2 linked regions of the Caenorhabditis elegans genome follow. The protein of the gene in region 2 purifies or fractionates together with the protein of the main gene of each other region. This does not show direct contact. Each region holds a gene or a part of one and is shown on either strand. Other genes may lie near its edges.

Region 1 (3,783 bases), on a different chromosome or scaffold from region 2:
TCACTTCAGAAAGTTCAGAGGAGATTGGTTGGAAATTGGGCAAAATCGTCTCAGAAGTTCAGATATATCTACCTTCCTAAAAGTATGTTTCTGTGGAATTTGATTAATCACTCCATTTATTCGAATTTCAGAATTGGAAATTGGGCTCCATTTCTTGGATTGAAATGTACAACATTGTCATTAGTTTTCCAATTCCCGAATTATTGATTTTACTGAAAAATGAGAGTTGCCAGAAAACACCAACGACGTGGAAAGTGTCTCGGGATCTAGACGAAGGAAAAGAGGAACTTGAAATTGGATTCTTCAAAAGTACAAACTTCTCGAAACAGCCATCATTGGTTATAAGGCAATTGAAAATTTTAGAATATTTGTGGTGAATTTTGGTATCTTGTTTTGGAATAAGTTTTCATGATAAACAATGTGTATAAAAAAAGTGATCGAAGGCGATTATGATTTCTTTTTTTTTTCTTGCCTCCAACATAACCGCAGCAAGATATGTTCGGAATTTTTTAATGGAATTTTTTATAAGACTTCTTTCTATGATTTGCATCCAAAAAATATGAATTTTGAGCTTCTTCGTCACTTTTGGTATTTCACTGAGCATCAACTCAGAGCGTTGGCGTGTGATACGGAGCCTTTAAAACACATTATCCTTACAACAAATGATCTCTCACTTCCGATATTTGTGTTTTTTAATGGCAAACAAACACATATATTGATAAAGATATTTATTTTCTGAAATGAAATGGAATACATGGTAAAATAATTCTAGTTTAATTTGCATATAACATTATTTATTTTATGGTGAGCGATCACTTTGGGAACGCCTTGGTGTGGACTCCAGTAGCAATCATTGCATTGTCCCTTTTACGATAGAGTTCTGCCTGAAATAAAACACTTTTGTAATCAGAAATATTCAAGAATAAAAAAATATGATACCTTAGTGAATCCAAGAGAGCGCCCCTGTTTGATGACAGTAGAGTTGAGTACAAGAGTTTCTCCGATGTTTGCAGCTGTCAAGTATCTGGAAGTTACGATGATCATAAATATTTTCTCCTGAATTTCTGGCATTATTAGTTTACGAAAATGAACGATTATAAAGCTAAAATATAGGTATGGGGGTACTAGAATGAGCGAAACTTTTCAGTTACCGTACTCGTGAGTACGGTAGATTTCTCTTTTTTGTTGGTTTTGCAATAAATCTGTAGTTTTAAATTAAAGGTTGGAATGGAAAAATTAGAAAACATTAGAAAAAGTTCGTTGGTACCGTAGCTGAGAACATTTCGGTCGTGGTGGGACCCCACACTGAATTTTGGCTTAAATATTGCACTTGTTCGCAAGACTTATATGTTTCAAATCATTGCATAATCTAGGAAACCTCTATTTAGATATAGATACTCACGTAATATGCAAATCCACTGAAACACCAGGCCTCGCTTCCTTTGTGAGTAGAAGAGCACCAGTTGTGAAACAATCGATAAGTGCTGCTGTACATCCACCATGAAGTGTCTCGAATTGATTTGTCTGATCCTTTTCAACTTCGAATTCCACTCGTAGATTTCCTTCCTCCGCATGAACTGCTCTCACATTCCGTGCTCCAGCCGCATAACCGAATTGTCCTTTTGTCCCGAACATTTTGATCACTTCCTTCGCAATTTGCATGTATTTTGATGCCATTTTCAAGCAATCTTAGAAAAAATATATGATTTAAAAATATTTGTTTCAAAACAAAAATCTCATAACCACGTAGACTTGCGTGGATTCTCTTACCATCAAAACATGTACAGAGTACTCGGATTAAAACGAGTATTTATGGAAAATTGGAAAAAAAACAAGAATTCTTTACAATTTTATTGCGGAATAATAGTTTTGTACACAAGGGAAATGTTTTTCAAAACGATCAAATTAGAAATTGTGTCTAGGAATTATGTTTAGGAGGTATTCCAGACACGAAATTTTGCGATTTTTGGGCAGAAATCACGGTAGCCGGTCTCGACACGAAAACTTTTTTTATAACGGGAAAAGGTGTGTGCGCCATTAAAGTTTACTGGAAATTCCAACTCTTGATTTTTTTTCGCGATTTTCTGAAAAAAAAAAGTTTTAATTGATGTATGGGAGTTTTAAAATAAATTAATAAATGTTTTTTTTATCGAAAATTGATGGGAAATTGTTGAAAAATCAATGAAATTTCAACAACAACGAGAGTCTAAAATTACAGTACTCATCAAAGAAGCACACCTTTTTTCATTTAACCAAAACATTTTGTGTCGAGACCGGATACCGTATTTTTGGCGCACGGATCGCAAATTTCCATGTCTTGGAATATATTGATTAGTTTGCTTTCTTCACAGTTGGGAATGCTTTGGTATGTACTCCAGTTGCAATCATTACATTATCACTTTTACGGTAGAGTTCTGCCTGGAAAAAAATAATATTTTTAAAACTTTTCTTAAAGTTTACCTTTGTGAATGCAAGAGTTTTTCCTTGTTTGATGACGGTGGAGTCGAGCACAAGGGTCTCACCAATTTTAGCGGCGGTCAGGTATCTAAAAATCTATCAAATTCGACAATTTTCTTCTCTCTTTACGTACGTAACATGCAAATCAACAGATACTCCTGGCCTAGCTGGTTTTGTGAGAAGAAGAGCCCCAGTAGTGAAAATATCAATGAGCGTAGATGTACATCCACCGTGAAGAGTGTTAAAATGGTTTGACTGATCTTTCTCAACTTCAAATTCCACTCGTAGATTTCCTTCCTCCGCATGAACTGCTCTCACATTTCCTGCTCCGGAAACACATCCGAATTGACCCTTGGTTCCATAATTTTTGATGATTTCCTTCGCCAATTGCATGTATTTTGAAGGCATTTTGATTTAATCTGAAAATGGATTAACATCTTAAAAATTTAGAACAATTTATCCCCCAGACGCGAAATCTTGGGTCCAAAATGCGGCACCAGGTCTCGACACTTACAGTACTCTTTAAAGGCACACCCTCGTTTTTATCTCACAAAAAAAGCGTGGCGAGACCTAATACCTTTTTTTTCTGCCCGAAAATCGAAAATGTTCGCGTATGTGTAATATTTAAATTGGCACTGATAATTCACCAAGCGGATATGTTCAAAACGATAAGAGAAAGTTCTTCATGAATCTTTATGGAACCGAAAATACGAATACAACCCATACTTAGAAACACACGGGTATTTAATAAATAAAGAAAGACCGAATTTCAAAACAAAAAAATTAAGGTGTGAGGGAATACATTGAACAGATTTAATACTATTTGAATTTGCAAATTTCTCCAAATTTTCTTATTTCTTCTTTTTCACCGCCAACTCGGTTCCTTTCATAAATTTCTTGTCGATTCCATACGATTTTATCAGAAGATCAGCGATAAAATGAATTTGATTTCCTTGAACGAGTACTTGAGGACCTTCGACGCCAGGAACTTCCCATTGACTTGTAACACTAGTAGCCACACCAGTCTGAAAATTCAGAAATTAGTATTTAAGGATTAGCCACCAACTACCTGAATTTGATGGCAAATCGTTCGAATGTCAATTCCAAACATCGCTAATCCATTTAAAAGAGTAACTTTTTTGTTTCCAGCACGGTTTTCGATCTTGAATTCAACTCTCGGTGGAGATACTTTTCTGACTATTTCTCTGCCGTCAGGCCATCTTATGTGCCATGTTGCAGTCATTCTTGAATGGATTTCTTTCATCAAATTTGCCCATGGAGTTGTATCCGTTTGGATTTTAGTGACCGAAAAGATAATTGGATCAA
Region 2 (5,598 bases):
AAAATTCCGGCATCAACATGTTTGTGGTGAAAAAGGGATACGTCTCAAGGTACAAATTTCATTGATATTGGTGGAACAAATGTGCGATCTAAAATCATCAGAAACTTTTCTTGAGCTACTCCAGGAACAACGACAGTTGACACATTATCATCCCCTGAATCGTTTAAATAGAGTTCACCGTATTGAAAGTTTTCAGTCTAACTTTTTTCCTTTTTTAATCAACTTTTAATATAATTTTTGTTTCAGAAAATGATAGGATTCCTCAAACTTGCCATTATTGGCACTGTGTTTTTGGGTGTTGTTCATCAAGCAGTTTCTACGGCAGCACAAGACGCCGGCTGTACTGATGAAGAATCACTTAGGACACATTCTTGTGACCTGGTGAGTTGTTTTTTTTGTTTTCACGCAACTCGATGATATCGTATTAAATGTGAATAGCGCCAGTGTGGATATTGCTTTAACACATGCCTATGGTACCATAAAGACCAAATATCAAAAAAAAAGTTTTCCTGCCAACATTTTTAAGAGAAATTTAAATTCCCGCAAAAGTTGGTCTCGCCACGATGGGTCTTACCACGATGGGTCTCGCCACGATGGGTTTCGCCACGATTGGTCTCGCCACGGCCATATCCCCCTACTACTACAGTACCCCGACTATATCCTCCAACTTTTTTTCTCCAGAAGGTTCTGGAACATTCCAGAATTTTCTCAAATTTTCCAGAAGGTTCAGGAACATTACAGAATTTTCCAGAAATTCCCAGAAGGTTCTGGAACATTTCATAATTTTTCCGAAGTTTCCAACATCCCTTCAAAAGACGAAAAGTAAATTTTTGCCAAACTACAGTAATCCTACAGTACTCCTACAGTACCTCTACAGTACCCCGACAATTTCCGTTTTAAAGCAATTTCCTCACTGGCGCTACTCACCTTTAATTTCAAATATTTGAATTTAGGTTCTGGCCGATTTCCTCGAAAATCCTGGCAACCTCGACGTGAAGAACAAAAAGAGGTTAAAGGAATACAAGGATGATTGCCATAACGTACTCAGTTGCTACAACAAAATCAAATGTTTGGGAACAAATGGGGAAAAAATTCCAGCGGTTAAGTATATTGGAAAGCATTGCAGAGCTACGGATTACGTACACGATGATTTTGCCAAGTGTAGTGACAAATTGAATGCAAAGAAATCAACATGTTTCGATGACTGGGACCCAATTCCAAACAACGTCACTACTGAAAAAGTCCCAAAAAAATTTGACCAGTTGATGAGTGAGTCTTGTAAAACATGTTTTGGAAAAGACAACTGCATGATGAAGGAAATTAAAGAAACATGTGGCCAACAAGAGTGGGACTTATTCCGTGTGGTAAAAAGCTTCTAGATAATTTCTCTAAAAAACTTTCATTTTCAGCATTTCATAATTATCGCTGGTGGATTTTTCGACAAGTGTGACTTCAGCAGGCTGGATTAAATTTTATGTGTTGTTAAATGACTCCTACAAAATTAATCAAAAGTGGCAAAACCTTATCAAAACTTTTTTTTCAAATATAATTTTACGATTCGCGTTGTTTGTGAGACTTTGAAAGCTCTTGCAAAAAATCAGAAGTTTAGGAGAAACATCACAGAAACAGTTTCCTGTGTTGATTACAGAGTGTTTAAAGCCGCAAAAATATTTGGGGTGGCCTATTCTGAGAAATCACTTTCAAATCACACAATTCTCGTTTTGAAGTCCAAGGCTTTAAGAACTTACTGTCCATGTCAGTAGTATAAAAAAGAATTTTCAAGTTTGTCCATCTTATGTCGCTACGTTCTGAAAAAGTGGCAGTTACCCTATTTTTGAAGTTTGGTCTTTTTTCGATGAATTTATAAGATTTTTCAATAAAAAAGGCTCTTCTTCTTGTTTCATCAGCAATTGGTCAGGATCTATGTGAATTAGAAATATTTTTAACATTGGGGCAGAGTTTTGAAGAACAAGGTCGCTCCAACATGTGGCGTACAAATGAACACATGCCTTTTCACATTTTGCTCCTAATACTAACTGAGAATGAACTTCCTGTTGGTACTGACACTAATTGTGATTATAAGTGTGCAGAGTAGACAGGAGGTAAGTTTTTTTCTAAACTAAAGTACTGAAATTGTAGAGTTTTTCGGTATTTTCAAATTAAATTTATTGTATTTCGAATATGACTGACTTAATAAAAAAACCAAGTATATTAATATTTGACTAGTTTGATCAATTTCCTGAAGTCGAAATTTGACAAAATTTTCGGAGGTTTGTGATTGTTGGTATTTGTTTTGTTGAAAATTTCAAAAATTTAACTTGGAACCTGAATATAAATTTTTCCGAACAGAATGTATTTTCTCTAACGTTTTCTCTAGTCAAATAATGATTGTTGTGTTCGTTTCAAGAATGTTCCAGATCGGTGCTAGCTTTTTTTTTAATCAAAAAATAGTTTTCAGAATGTTAGTCTGGATCCTTGCAACGACTTCTACGATTATGTGTGCTCAAATGACACCAGAAGCATCACTGAGCTTAACTTCACAAGTTTATTCGAGGATCGAGAGATACTGGTAGTAGGCTCCCTGTCATGCATCCAATATTACGCAGTAATGGTTTCAGAATCCGAACATTTCATTTCCGAATAACGGGACCTACATCACATTTGATCAGATTCTTAGCCCGTATAGCTTGATGATGTGGTATATGGTGGTCAAATCAATGGATACGCCCACTGTTGGTTCTGAATTTTTTGATGAGGCGACACGCGAATATGCTACAAAGAAGAACAATTCGGAGAAATTCAGTTTCGCGTTGGAAAACCTGGAAAACCTTAATCTAACGGTAAGAAAACTCTGGAAATTTTTGGAATATTCCAAATTTAGAATTTTAATTTTGTTTAAGGTTCACGGAAAAAAGGTTTGCTATTCCTAGTTCCAAGAAAGCAAGTGTATTGGATTTTCTTTTTATTTTTAAGAGAAATTATATAATTTTTGGAGGGAATTTAGTTTTATAATAACAATTTCAATACTATTTTCACATGCTAATTTTATAATTTTTTTCTATTCCAGTTGACAAATGTTTTCTACAATTCTCTCTACGCCAATATCGAGGTCCTCAATCAGCTTAATCTTCCAGCCTCCGAAGAAAACGAATATCTTCATCATATTTTCGATCTAATGAAAAATAATACTATCGAGGAGATTTGGAGCAGTTCTTTATCAAATAAAAGTAAAAAAGAATTTGAGAAAGAACTGAACAAGTCAAAAGTAATTTTTGGACTATTGGATTATAATAATGTGACAATGCTAGAGGAAACTAAACTCATTTACGAGACGGAATATTATCGACTCAAAAGTTTATTGTCGTCAAAGTAAGTAGAATATTGAATACTAACCTTTAAAATTAGTTTTCAGTGATCTTGACACAGAAATTGCGGAGAAAATCATCCGTTTGGGAGCCACTGATACCGCGACAAAAAACTTGGGGAAACGAATTCCGGGCTATACACCGCAGTTTTTGTTCTCCGCTTTTGCGTCGAATATGGCAAACGAGGCGTTTAATCAAAATTCAAATATTTATTGTGGAATTGTCACTCGAAGTGATTTACAAGAACCCATTTTAACGGTGAGAAAATATTGACCATTAATTTCCTAAAAACAAAATGCCGAGGCTATCTTACACTTTTCCAGATAGCCGACACCATTTTTGTACTCGCCCATGAGCTCATGCACTTTGTCTATCCATTCGGAATACGGTTACTGCCTTCTAATGTTACAAAAGCAGCAAACAAGTGTACACAAGATGAAGTCAAGATGATGGGTGACTCTGATGCCGTGGTGAGCTAGCAAATTTCTACTTTTGCTTTACATACTTCCCTGTACTTTTCAAAAGTGACGATTTCAGAAGCCAATAGATGGATGGTTCAGTGAAAACATCACTCACGAAGATCTTCCAAATTTATTGGGATTAAGGATGGTTATGAAGATGGTCGCAAGGAAATCGGCGAATGAAGAGCAGGTAGGAAATATTTCAGCAAAATTAAAGTACGCGAATTTCGGAACGCCTACATTTTAGATAAATTGGATAGGCCGGCGCGGCTCCAAAAGTTGCCGGGTGCTGGAATTTTCGGCAACCTGCAACCAAGTTTTTTTTATTCTACAGAAACCTTGGAGTTACCAATAAAATCAAGAAAATTAAAAGGCTCCAAGGTACTTGTAACGAGCACAAAAGTTGAACAATTATGCAAGTTAAAAAATTATTGCTTCCGTGAGTCAAGTCGCCGCCAAAAATTACATATTTCAGCTGAAAAATGCGCTTGAAACAATTTTGAGCGGATTATGCATCCAAGGCAAACCAAAAAACTCAATTCTACCAAATCATCATCCCTTTGAAATATCCATCAACACAGCCGTTCGCCAATATCCATTGTTCAGTTCACTCTATGGATGTCGCCTTGGTGATCGAATGTTTGCTGAACCGGTACGGAATTTAAGATGAAAAAAGGAAAATACGGTATAGGTATCTATTTTTTTAGGAAAAGTTTTGCAATCCACTGGGAGGCGACGTGAACTTGGAGGACTATAAAATCAAGAATGATACTGAAGATGTCGGTGGATTCTTCAATTATATAATGGATACTGCAAATGCGTTTAATTTTTCTTTTACGAATTGATTTTTGCCACAACCATTCAATATGTGCTTGATGTTTTCCCACAGTTTCGTGGGTTTATTTATAACCGTTTTTATGCTTTTCCATCAAATTTTAATGATATTAGTTTTTATGTTTGTTCTTCAAAATACACTTAATCAAAAAAAACCACAATTCAAAGCACTGAACGGGATAGTAATGTATACTTGTTTGAAGATCAACAGCCTGAACTTCATGATTCATTTTTCTCAGTTTGTTTGAGTTAGAATAAAGAGAAAAATCAGAATAAAGAGAAAGTCAATAATTTGGAAACTGTATGTGGAAGCTGATTTTATCTGGGTCTACAAAAAATCTACACTTTTGTTTATTAATAAGGCAAGTGTTTATTAATAAGGCAAGTGTTGAAATATGGAGATTTAAATTGACGGTGTAGTTTCGTTGGTGCGTGATCCAATAGGTCCTGTAAAGTGAAAGTTGTGACGATGTGCATAAAGTAAAATACTTGGGAGTTTACTGTAGTTGCAAAAATGTGATTTTTATTTTCAACAATTTGTAATTTTTAAACATTCAAAGATGTCATACCCCAGCGCTCTAGGAGCTTCACAAAAGCTCCTAGAGGGCTTGTTATCAAAATTCGACATTTTTCCCAACTCACTTTGAATAACTGAAACTGAGAAAGTGCCCACATTGTGTACTATCAACGGATTGGTTGCGGTCTTGGTAATATTAATCTAAAATTTTTAATTTGTTTAATTGATTGTTTAATTGAAATGATTTGTTGGAGAAACTGAACCACCACTCACTTTACTTTTTTACATACTTTTTAACATGCGTACCGTGTTTGTGTTCATTATTTTTTCCAACAACTCCGGATACTCCAAAAACAATTGGCGATGCTACGAACAGGATTCCAATTAATACTGTAGCTATCTTAGCTATTGTTTTCCAATT

Evidence for each region.
Region 1: the proteins of T28A11.17 (region 2) and C25H3.14 fractionate together in Caenorhabditis elegans (co-fractionation; one large-scale study listed by BioGRID). This does not show direct contact.

Annotation. Positions count from the first base shown.
Region 1 is NC_003280.10:5,693,288-5,697,070, reverse strand, and holds C25H3.14 (Acyl-coenzyme A thioesterase 13), read right to left. Parts: upstream 1,689-3,783; 5' UTR 1,678-1,688; coding exon 1,403-1,677; intron 1,025-1,402; coding exon 940-1,024; intron 885-939; coding exon 813-884; 3' UTR 713-812; downstream 1-712. Other genes in the region: C25H3.10 (F-box domain-containing protein), read left to right, coding at 1-82, 132-377; C25H3.3 (Acyl-coenzyme A thioesterase 13), read right to left, coding at 2,332-2,418, 2,461-2,545, 2,591-2,865; eif-2D (SUI1 domain-containing protein), read right to left, coding at 3,309-3,482, 3,527-3,783.
Region 2 is NC_003283.11:3,262,699-3,268,296, reverse strand, and holds T28A11.17 (Peptidase_M13 domain-containing protein), read left to right. Parts: upstream 1-2,007; 5' UTR 2,008-2,042; coding exon 2,043-2,102; intron 2,103-2,458; coding exon 2,459-2,569; intron 2,570-2,618; coding exon 2,619-2,840; intron 2,841-3,067; coding exon 3,068-3,369; intron 3,370-3,412; coding exon 3,413-3,623; intron 3,624-3,688; coding exon 3,689-3,835; intron 3,836-3,902; coding exon 3,903-4,016; intron 4,017-4,301; coding exon 4,302-4,478; intron 4,479-4,533; coding exon 4,534-4,671; 3' UTR 4,672-4,815; downstream 4,816-5,598. Other genes in the region: T28A11.18 (T20D4.11-like domain-containing protein), read left to right, coding at 250-381, 954-1,364, 1,410-1,469.